Linked DNA regions of Nothobranchius furzeri. The protein of the gene in region 1 interacts with the protein of each later gene in a pairwise test. Links are inferred from orthologs where the notes say so. Each region holds a gene or a part of one and is shown on either strand. Other genes may lie near its edges.

The links. The genes of interacting proteins can lie anywhere in the genome.
Region 2: the proteins of prpf40a (region 1) and ccnl1a interact in binary tests that used the Homo sapiens proteins (3 or more experiments, as listed by UniProt). The link is inferred for Nothobranchius furzeri from reciprocal best matches to the Homo sapiens genes PRPF40A and CCNL1.

What each region holds. Positions count from the first base shown.
Region 1 is NC_091754.1:18,341,113-18,346,836, forward strand, and holds part of prpf40a (pre-mRNA-processing factor 40 homolog A), read right to left. Parts: intron 3,611-5,724; coding exon 3,546-3,610; intron 3,468-3,545; coding exon 3,303-3,467; intron 1-3,302.
Region 2 is NC_091753.1:29,846,216-29,852,605, reverse strand, and holds the start of ccnl1a (cyclin-L1a), read right to left. Parts: upstream 3,566-6,390; 5' UTR 3,459-3,565; coding exon 3,219-3,458; intron 3,023-3,218; coding exon 2,948-3,022; intron 2,442-2,947; coding exon 2,332-2,441; intron 762-2,331; coding exon 641-761; intron 541-640; coding exon 476-540; intron 1-475. UniProt on the Homo sapiens protein: Involved in pre-mRNA splicing. Functions in association with cyclin-dependent kinases (CDKs). Inhibited by the CDK-specific inhibitor CDKN1A/p21. May play a role in the regulation of RNA polymerase II (pol II).

The DNA.
Region 1 (5,724 bases):
AGGCTCACAACGACACTGTGACATCATATGGTACCAGCTAACGTTCTAGGGTACCTCTCACCCCTTCTTTCCACCGGAGCCGTCAGCAGCACGTCTTGCTCGCGTAAGCTGCTGCTTGGCCCTTCCCACGAGACGCGAAACAGCAGGGGAGCAGCTGTCACCGACCGAGCACGAAGTCACACGAGTGACTTCGTCAGTAAACACAACAAGCAGGAGAAAACTACAACATGGCTCCAAAAGGTTTGTGTTTTATGTTCTGTCCGTTTTATAATCACCAATACGGACCTGAAAAACAAAGGAGACCGCTAGCTAGGTGATAACTTCTCACGGGGACGCACAGTTAGTAACCTTTTTTAAAAGTAAAGCAACCGGAAGGCAGTACGTTTCTTTATTCTGAAAATCTCGGTAGCTTCTCTGCATTTCCGCGTCCGACTTCCCGTCTTTCCTTCCCCAAAAATGTCGAACTTGACCCGTTTCAGAGGCGTCGCGCGTAGAAAATAGAACCGGCGTGTAAAGGCCGCGACATGCTGCTCCTGAGACGCGGCCGACTCGCGCTGCTGACGGCTCCGGTGGAAAGAAGGGGTCAGCCAATAGAGATGGCAGATTTAAATTCAAATGCAGTGCAGAGTTTTTACCTGACAACGGCACAACACTGCCAGTTTTAGGCAGAAAATTAAAATTGTAACTAAAATGCACTAAAGTGCAAAACTAGTGACTACACGTGTCTGCAGCACGATTAGACACACATTTAAATAGTTTACCAGAAAAAAAGTTGATTTGGGGGTGACTTGCTCTTTAAGTCAAAGTTTTAAAATCAAGAAACTTTTCCAAAATGGAATAGCCAGAAGTCTTCCAGAGTCTCTGAAAGACAGACGGATCTCCACTTTCCACTCAACACTGTGCTCTTGTGCACGATGTTGAGCGCATCACAGACGCTCCCCCAGCTCCTCTTCAGTGCTGTTTGCACGCACTGGCAGCAGTGAGAGGCAGAGAAAGTGTGAGATAATGGGCGGATGGAGATCTTTTGTTGATTGTTACCTCTGCGAGGTTCTCTGTGCATAACGTGTCAAATATTCGTCATTAACAAACTAACTCACAGGCAAATAAATAAACAAATCGCCTCTTCTAAAAACAATCGTAACGGCTCAGCCCATTGCCGACGGGCTAACCCTTCTGTCTGGTTTGAAATACGTCCAAACTGCAGACATTATGTCTCATGAGGCGACATGCTAGTTCTGCATTAAGGCTGATTCATGCTTCTCCGTCTGCGTCAGTGCGGAGACACGCAACGCCATTATCCGTCCTTGCGTAGGGCCCCGGCAGGCACGCAAGTACGTACGGAGTTGAACCCACTTTTTTTAAACATCAGTCGAACGAGACGGAGAACTTGTGATTGGTCAGGGCACCGCTGTCGGCTACACCGCCGCCATTGCGCCTTCAAAAACATAAAAGAGAGCCGAGGATAACTAGCGGCAGACATGGAGAAGCTTGAAGAATACCTCGCGAAAAAAACTCTAAAATAAGAACGTTTCATCCTCCCGTGACTGGAGGAGTGAAAAAATATGCAACAAGCGTTTTATTTGTCGACGGAAATGACAGGAAACGTGGGTTTAGAGGTGGGGAGCGCATGAAGAGGTGGAGGAGAATGAGAGACAAATATGTCCGTGTTAAAACGTCTCTTACATACAAAAAAACACAGTATAAACACACTATCTTGGACCGATACATGACAGGATACCACAGAACAGCGCTACGCCCTCTGTTGTCCTGCCGGGGAATTGCTTTGCAACACTCCCCAGGAGACGGAGAAGTATGAGGGCAAAACGCTTCCGTCAATCCGTGTGTGTCTGTCCCTTGCGGAGCTGACGGAGAAGCATGAACCAGCCTTTAGCCTGCTGTCTAGGGATGAGTACCTTTGACATCTGAATGGATACAGTACCAATTCCTGGTACCTACGAATCAATACTTAACGGTATCAAATTTCAATACTTTTGAGTGTATAATAATTATTTAAATAGCGTTTTGATTAAATATATATTATTTTCCCAATATATAACCATATTTGATCAATATCATGATAAATAACAAACAACTGTTTGTATTTTATCATCATAGTGTTGTACAAAATTCTTCAATATGAAAACCTTTAACAACCGTTTCTAAATTATGCAAAAACAAATCCAGCTCCATGTACTCCTAATCCTCTCCTTTCCCCTCTGGACAAACTGTGATGGTGGGTCCTTGTAGTTTTATAAACTGCAAATGAAACCGAAGCAAACATCATTGCTGTGAACTAAATTTACTTCGTATCTTCATTCCTTTTGCCGTTCATTTTCAAAACGTTTATTTTTCCTACTAGGAAGTTGGAATTTCCGAGGAGAATGCGAACGCACCATTAGCTATGTAAACAAAAACTAAACTATCAAGCTAACGTTAACATAAAACAGTTTATTTAGCTGCTGGAGCAGATTAAGATGCCTCATACTCAGATCGTTGTCGCTGGTTTCATCATCACCCAATAGCCCACCTCATTTAGTGAAGTGAAGCCAAACTTTAGAGCGCCTTCGCTTTCTTCGAGTCGGAATTTTGGAGTTCCGAGGAGTAAGCAAACGCACCATTAGCTGAATGGAAACTAACACATCAAGCTAACGTCATCTTAATCATTTTATTTACCTACCGGAGCAGATTAAGATGATGATGCCTCACTTAGATCGTTGTTGCTGGTTTCATCATCACCCAGTTATCCACCCCAGTGGACACAAACTTCAGAATGCTTCCTCTCTGCCGTGCTGCTTTGTTTACACCCACAGTGACAAGATACGCTCTTGCGCCAGGCGAGCGGTACGAGTATCGAAACAAGGCACCGTTTCATATTATGTGAATCGGTACTCAGTCGGTACTTTGGAATTTGGTCGGTGCCTTAAAAAGTATTGAATTCGGTACCCATCCCTAATGGTGTCTGAAACTATCAAATCCAATCCTGTACAAGTCACATGACCGGGGCCCGATTTCCGATCACATGATTGAATAAGTACATTCCTTAGTTTAAACTAGCTGGAAACCATTTTTAAAAACATAATTCATACAAAATTTTAACTAAATGTTATTTTTTATTGTAAGAATAAATAAAACTAGACAGAATCTATCAGATCCCGATGGGAGCCCAGCAGCGCTGCAGCTGCTTGATGGTGTGCAGAAACCATACGTGACCTTTCATTGATCCTGTCACCATAATCAAATTGACAGTTCAGAGTGCCACAAATCAATCCATGAACAAACACAAAAATCACTGCAGCACGTACTTGTATCTGGTTGTAGACGTCATCTTCTCATTGTTCTCCAGGAATCTCTGGAAGGTCTCCTTGGATTCCTTGTATTTAATCCGGGCCTCCTCCTTTTCCTCCTTCTCTGTCTGGACTTTGTAGGCATTGAACGCTTGCTTCTTCTCACTCAGCTTAGGAAGAGCGCTGCAGATGAAAGCTGAATGTAAGGGTCGGAGTTGAAGCTTGTTACTGTAAATATTGGGAATCCTGGGAATACTGCACCTGTAGCGAGGATCATTGATTATCAGTTTCATGGCCTGCTCCCAGGAGGAGTTTGATGCCACGCCCTAAATCAACAAAAACATTCAGATCAGTTCAATAAAAATCTCAACTGGGGGGGAGAAAATGTGCAAAAAATGTCTCTGGTCCGAGGCAGCACAGTTAAAAAAAGACTAATAAAAGTAGGGATGCACCGATCAGGTTTTTTGCTGCCGATCACCGATACCGATATCAAAGAATGCTGATCACCGAGACCGATCACCGATACTGATCATGTGGATTGGCCAGAAATTTTCTACAACATTATAATGAGTGCTACAAACTACATAATCTGGGAATAAAGGAAATGTAACCTAATCTAAAATGGTCTGTATTAGGGTTGTCACGGTGTGAAAATTGAACCTCAAGGTTATTGTGACCAAATTTACCACGGTTTTCGGTATTATCGCGGTATTTTTTTTAAACGTGCTACATTTTCACACAATTAAATAAACCCTGTATGTCAGGAAATATTGTCCTCAGTTTGTGTCTAAATTTTGCCTAAATGTTGTTTATTTGTTTACATTTTTCCCATTAAGTCTTTAAAATACCAATATTTGCCCAAAACTTCTTATTTTTTGTCTGTTTGATGTCATCATTTTAAAAATATTAGATCGGATGACACTCAGTACTCAAGTAGCCTTCTAATCAGATACTTTTTTACCCTTACTTGAGTAATAAACCCTATATCAGGAAAATATTGTCCTCTGTTTGTGTCCTTCCAGTGAGCTTTGCAGATGTGGGAAAATGTCATCAGGCAGTAATCATTGTTAAATTCATAATTATTCTCGGAGAGTGACCAACTCTTATCTGCTCCTGGGAGCCCCGTAATGCATAGCGTCATTTCAACATGGAGGTGTCCGCGACACGGTTTATATGCAGGTAGCGGCGCTGCGGCTGCTTTATATAGCGACTCGTTGCATTCTCCCTCAACCCAAATCCTCAGATCACGCATTTTAGCTAAAACGCTAACGTTAACTTGCCTTGCGTTGACTGTAGAGTTGTGGGTGATGGTCACGCAGATGTGTCATGAGATTTGAAGCGTTGCTGCCTTTCACAGACTCTTTTTCAGCACATGCTGCAAACAGGATAGCCGTCTTCTATCAACTGTCCCTCGGCATTCTTCAAATATCCAAAAAATGCCCGTACTTCCCACTTTGTCTTCTTTGAGGGATAAAAATGTCCTGAGCGCTGCCGTCTACTCCTTTGGCCATTAATGCAGCTTTAGCTTCAAGAAAGTTTTGGCTGTAAACAACAAAGCGCGCATGTGCCGCTGGCAACTTCAGCAGATGATACGGTGGCTGGTAAGGGTCACCGCGCCTACACCGCAGCCACTGTAATCCACCGAGATAATACGGTTAAAAAAAAAAAAAAAAAAAAAAAAGACAGTTATTATTATTGTCAAAAATTATTTTTTACCGGGGTTTACCGCTACACCAGTTACCATGACAACCCTACCTGATCGGTCTGCTTTGATCTATTTTGAAAACTCCAATCAAAACCGATAGGGGCACTTTCAGCGGATTGGGATCAAATGCTGATCCATCGGTGCGTCCCTAAATAAAAGTTGTGTTAAAGTGTGCGTGGAGGGGCAATAATTCAAGACGGGCTTATATAAGCGCCCAGAACGTGACTCCTTCATCCATTAAGACCCGATTCCACTCTGCATCTCTCGTCTCCTCACTTGTCACAGCTACTCTAACTCACAGGAGCATGCCACTTTCTCTCACCGTCCTAATCCCAGCCAGCCCCTCCTGCCTGTGATCCAATAAAGCTAATCATAAAGACCGACTCATTAAGATCTTCAAGGAAGTGGCGAGCAATCTCAGAGGAGAGCTTTGTGCACAAAATTAAAAAGGGTCTAAATTTAACAACATGCGAGGTGGGTGGCGCTGGGCGGACCTGCGGCTGGAAGCACGGCACGTCTATGGCAGCAGGAGGTGAGCTTAACACACCTCCCAGGGGACCAAGAGAGATGAGGGGGTCAGGGATTAGAGCAAGATCCAGATGCAAAGGACGTGTTGATAAAACTCAGAGGAGAGCTGCAACAACACGAGGATCAGTCAAAATTGCACAAACTCTAAAGAAATATAGAAAACCTGAAGCACCCCTGCTGCAGGTGTGTGTGCATGCACCCATATCC
Region 2 (6,390 bases), on another chromosome or scaffold:
GTCCACATAACTGATTTGTTTGGTCCCTTATTGTCAGCAATGTCATTTGTTTTGTCCTCTGTCCTTTTTATGTTTGTGGCACTCATTTTTTCTTGTTTACCCGCCATGTAACCTTTTACCTGCAGCAGACTAAAGCTACGCTAAAATTAGCCGCTATCAGAGTTTGTCAGGCTGCTAAGGAGCCTTGAAGCTCTTTTCTTTAAATCAAAGTTCTATCGACCCGTTCTCATAAGTCTATTGAGAAGTTATTTTGAAGAATATATTGTTATCGATTCATCACCCAGCCCTGTGCCGTTTCCAAAAAGAGCACCTGAGCATCTTTGACTGACAGGACTTGTGTCCTAAGTGAGGCAGCTCCAAGCTCCTGACAGGTTTACATCAAATGCTCTTCATCAGCTCAATCATTTGAAACGTGTTCAACTCCACCTTAAGCCCATGTCTGGTGGCACTCTGCTGCTGACGGGAAGGAACTTACCAGGCTGTCTGGACCAGAACCTGATTCTTCTCACATTCCAGGACTTGGAGGTACATAACGACAATCTGAAATCATATATTTTTTATTGAAACCAAAGCAGTGATGACTACAACCTGTGCAGTGGTACCAAAACTGATGTAAAAGAGAAGAGTGTCTTAAACTCACCTTGTGTGGATGCTTGACATGAACACAGAAGCCCAACTCTTTCAGGACCCGCCGTTCTGCTTTGATGACTTGGTTTTTGGTATTAATGTAGTTCTGATCAAGTATCAATGGACTTGGAGTCCTATTTTGCAAAAGAATCAAAATAAAATTGTTTTCCCATTTCATTTTAAATCTAAAAAATAGGAAAGTACCCTTCTGAATTCTTGCACTTTTCCCCGCTTCAACCAACTGAAAGCAACAAGTTACTGTTTTCATATCTGACAGTGTGCCGGCTGGGGTTGTGGACTCCTGTGGTTTCAGTGACAGCTTAGGGCTCTACAGATGAACTCTGACCTCATCCTTCACCCAGAACTTGTGCAGAAATATCACATGCTGCTCAAAGGCACATCAATACACCTGACCTCATAATAAAACTATACTTGTTTAGACAACACACACACACACAACTAGATCTATCACCAACGTATCACACCACCTGTACCAGGACGTTCAGAGCAGAAAATCTACTTGAAACTCAAAGAAAAAAATAATAAAAAAAATAAATAAAAAAGCCAATGATGCAAATTGATGCCAACATTGACCTGTCTGCCAATAAATAAATAAAAACAAACTACAAAAAAAATTATAAATAAAAAGAGTTTCACTGCATGTAGTTTTATCTGAATAAGTTTAGGAAATTAAATTCATGCCATCAACCTTTGCTTAAAAGATTAAAATTACATCCGTCTGCAATTTGATGCAGCAAAACTTTCCCTTAAGTATTAAGAGGCTTTTATTATAAACTAATGATAAAACTCCTAAAGTTTAAGTTTTGGTATCTCCAAGAAATTATGCCACAAACCACATCCCAAAAATGTCTTCCAACAATCCATATGCCAAATAGAAAAACCAAATATGCAACCAGAAACTACTTATAGGCGTGTATGTCATCCTTATCACACAAACGATGGTTTCTATTTATAACAAGATGTATAATAGAGCTACACTACATAGACTGGCCCTTAACTGGCAAGGACCCCAAACAAGCTTTAACAACAGCAAAGATATTTCTGTGAAGACCATGGTTTGTGGAAGATGAATGAAGGTTTGCTTTTGATGTACAAATCAAAATGCATGGTGAGAAGCAGTCAGAGAAAAAAAGCTACATTACCCCATGGTCCGCAGATATACGGACAGATACCCAAAGCTTAAGACTGAACCACAGGAGTCCTCAAGGTGCCCCACAGGCCAAGGACCTTCGGCCAACCTGTCATCCCCGATCCCAGTGCCCCGCGGTGGCCCAGACCACGGAGTCTCCCACAGGAGGGGATGGGGCGGGCCTGGGGGGACGACAGAGACCCCCTCGCATCATGGTTGTCATGCCGACTGCTTCATCTTACGTACCATTCCACATCACCCAGGCTTTGGTAAATGTAGCTGGTCGCTGTTAGTTGGTTGCAAGGGAAAAAAGAAGCAAGTTAATGCCAAGATCTAGAACAAGACCAACATTAAAGCATGAGGCACACAAAGTAGGTATGCCTCATCTTTGACAGACTTATGTTTAACACCTTTAAAAACTACCAATGAAGCTGGAACTGAAAAGTTTTTAAATGGTTTAGAATGCATGAATAAACAGAAGGGCACTTTCACAGCAGAAGCATATCAGCAACAATTCACAGAAAAATCCTGAAAAGTTTAATGCTTCAACTTACTTTTTGCTTCTGAGCTGCCTCAGGTGATGGAAAACGTTGATGACGTCTCGTATTCGTCGGGGTGCTTCTTCGATTTTTGAGGCCAAGTTGACGCACGCCATGGCAACGATCTGAAAAAAGACGACAAGACAAAATTTGAAGGAACAGTACGCCAACCTGTTGGTGGTATGTCCAAGTGTCAACCAAGACAAAGATTATTGCCATTTCTGCCACAAAATAAAAAACTGGCTTCATAGTAACTACAATTAAGCGTCTTCGGTGAGTGACACACTAAATGTAGTTATCGAACCAAAACTAACCGTAACGCATAGTTACGTGCTGCATTTATCTGATCAGTTTAGCTGACCTTTGAAAACTACTACCGACAGTTAAATGAGATGTGATGTTTAAACTTGTTTAGCGTGACCACTATTTTTAGCATAAACCGGCGTAATCTGTTAAGTTAACCATAGTAAATTTTAAAAAGTACGTATTTGTTAGGTTTATGGAAAAAATACCCCCCCCAATATATGGAAACTCGGAAACAATATGGCTGCCACGAACGTCACGAGAACGTTCTGTGCTTTGCTGTCATCACCGGCAACTGGGTAATGCCGAAACTTTTTAATGATCTTACCTCGAAACTGTGCTTTACGAAGGACTTGGAGTAGAAGAACCGATGGAAAAGAACCTGACCCGTCGCCAAAGCCACCTGTCAAAGACAAAAAGGTACAAAAATTCTATAAACCGGCCTATAACCTTACACAATATACCCGCCGCCATTTTGATTCCACCACGCCAACATCAGCAGACCGCCAAGGCCGCGACTTGCCAAAGCCACTTGTGGTTTGTCGTGAATAACAGCAAAATATCAAAAATATGTGTCTTAAATCTTCGAATACACGTACCTGAGGTAACCGGAGAAGAATACCCGCCGACTGGAGCAATTCGCAACCAAGAATACGGAGGTCGGTCTCGGTGTTAGCGTCGAGGCCGTCGAGCATAGATGGCGTCGGACAGAGCCTTTCCTCCGGTACCAGCGAGCTGTCTATTGTTAGGCACACTTCAGAGTAAAGTTTGTCCCCAATGAGAATACCATCGTTGTTAGTGGACGCGTTAGAAGAGACAGATAGAGGACCCGCGGCCATCTTTGACAGACAAAAAAAACAGCTAACAGCTAGAACTCGCGCAGCCTCGACAAAACGGCGGCTGGAGGGAGACAGCCGGGTGACAAAGGACGTGACGTCACTGCCTAGTGGCGGAGGACGTCAAGTGTGTATACATCCGCGGTGAAAAATAACCCCCATCTTAAAGCAGCCTTTCAGCATTTTCTAACAAATATTTGAGCTAATTTAAAACTTTTTGACAAATTTATTAGTCTAAAATTGTCATCATACAGTGTAAAGATGAATACAATATATGGAACTATTTATTACGTTTTTTCCATCTACAAAACTATAAAGGAAGTCAATCAAATATGTCTAGAACTATTGATCCAAAACTTGGACTTTAATGAAACAAAACTGGTTTAATTGGTTAGATTTTCATCGTTCACTTATCATATTTGGTGTTGACAAATATGTTTTTTAATAGAATAATTTCCTCATGAAATATTTTTTATTTACTTTACGCAGTATCTTTTTTTTTTTCAAAGTGCAACAGGAGGAACCGACTCACCACAAATGGTTTCTGTTACGTATTTTACGGGAAAGCACAAACTCCTCACCGCTGTCTCTGGAACATATCCATCCGCCGATTAAAAAAAGTATATATATATATATATATATGATTATATTAATTCGGTCAAACTACGCAGTTATTTTTAAGGTTAAAAAAGTATGTCCACGGCATTAAAATTGGTTATTACGGTTTTAAAAGCTGCTTAAATAGTCAAGTTACTGAATCGGATAATTTTTCATGAGTTTAATAATTTATCTGCAATTGGTTAAAAAAAGAATACACGAATAAAATTAAACACTTAATAAAGTTTCGTGTGAACAGTTTGTCCCGAGGAACAGAGAGGCACCTGGCTTGCAAGAACACAGTGTTCACCACCACTCAGCTTCTAATTTTTGATTAAAGTGTTGCAGTAGCCCAAAGTGAACAGCAGAGGTCAGCAGAGTATCACTGGTTCGTTGACCTACACTAAACACTGGGGTTCTTCAGGTTTCTCACTTTATTCTAAGGACTTGTGCAGCATGCATAATTTCTCCACCAATACTACTACGTTTGTATTACAATTAACCAGAAATTGTTAATTAAATGTAAAATTTTACTACTTTTTTGCGAATGTTCAGCCCAACTCTTGCACCTGATTACAAAGTGTGGTGAGTGTGCTTTAAAATGAAGGAATTACACAAGTGGAGGACCAAATTTTAGCAAATGCCTCATTGGGAATCTCCTTGTAGGAACTAAAACAATGTTTGTGTGAGATTGAATTCAATATCGATTTTTACTCAACAAAAAACTCTTACTTTACAGATTCACTGAGACACAGTAAACCTAGAGCTGGTTCTCTGGTATGTAGAGATCACATGATCCATAGACAGTTGGTAGATGGAGGAAATGAGGACTCAGTAGGAGCTCAATAGCATATTATTGTCTCCAGACATGCTCATATACTTGGTTATTTGTTCTATTCTAAACTTCTTGTGATCACCACTATCACAGACTGTCCAAAGCTCTAAATAGCAGGATGAGACATCATTCCCCCCCCCCCCCCCACACACACACACACACACAGATTTATTTGCATGATCTTGGTGACGCACTGCATAAAGTAGCAGGCTGAAGTGTCTCTTCTCTGTCATTAACCAACACCTCCACCTCGCACCTCCGACCAGCACTTACGCAGTTACCATGACAACCAGAATACTAAACATTCTTCCTCCTGTTGCCCTGGTGATGCTAATTATAGGGTGTGGGAGGGCTCGAGGGACAGCAGAATTCCAAAACGACCATAACGACGCAGGAGAGAGGCGTCGGGGATGCCCAGTGACGAACAAGGGCTTAGTTATAAACACACACACCACTCCCTGGAGTGTGTGTATTTACAAGCAACTAACACAGATTGCCCTGGGGACATGTATGTATGCCTGCCCCACAATGATAATCACTGTGGTGAGATCACAAACCTTTTTTGTGCGTGTGCATGGCATGCATATTTGACTTAAACGGTTGCGTGTGCAAGCATTTGTTGAGTGACAGAATTAGAATGTTTCAGATGGATCAAGGAGTCTTTTTATGTCAGCTTTTATGCACATGGGACGTAGAAAGAGCTGCAAAGAGTTGATTCTCTCTCACACATCAACTCCCTCACACTTTTCCAAAAGCACAAATGCAAACTTACCAGGAAGAACACCAAGTCGAGGGCTACAAAGCGAGCAAGAGCAAAGGAAAAAGAAAAGGCCCCAGAAAAGGGTTAAGGCGAGAGCTGACTGGATCTAAAATAAAGTGAAGCCACAGATAGCTAAGAGAGGGAATTGCTCTGCAGCAGCAAGGTCAGAGGGGATGGATGCCAAAAGAAGGCCAAAGAGATTAAAAGAATAATACAGAGAAGGATTCGTATGTGTGTGTGTGTGTGTGTGCGTGTGTGTGTGTGTGTGTGTGTGTGTGTGTGTGTGTGTGTGTGTGTGCCAGAGGTACAGAGCGTGTCTGACACAGAATAATGGAGGTGTGTGTGTTTGTGTTTTGAGGGCAACAGAGAGAGATAGAAGGTGTGTGTGGTTAGCAATCAGTCATACAACATAAAACAAAGAAAGCCTCTGTCTGGCAAAGATGGATGCTTTCTCTGCAAAAAGAAATTAAGAAAAGCAAAGATTAAAGTTACATTAAAGCAGAGTTATTTGTCTGAGGGCCCCATCTAGAGGTAGAAAAATGTATTACACCATTGGCCCGTCTCCCTACTTCCGTGATTACCAATACATACACACACACACACACACACACACACACACACACACACACACACATATATATATATATATATATATATATATATATATATATATATATATGTATGTATATATATATACTTTACTCAGAGATTTAATATGAATAATGTAAACTAGATAACTTTAG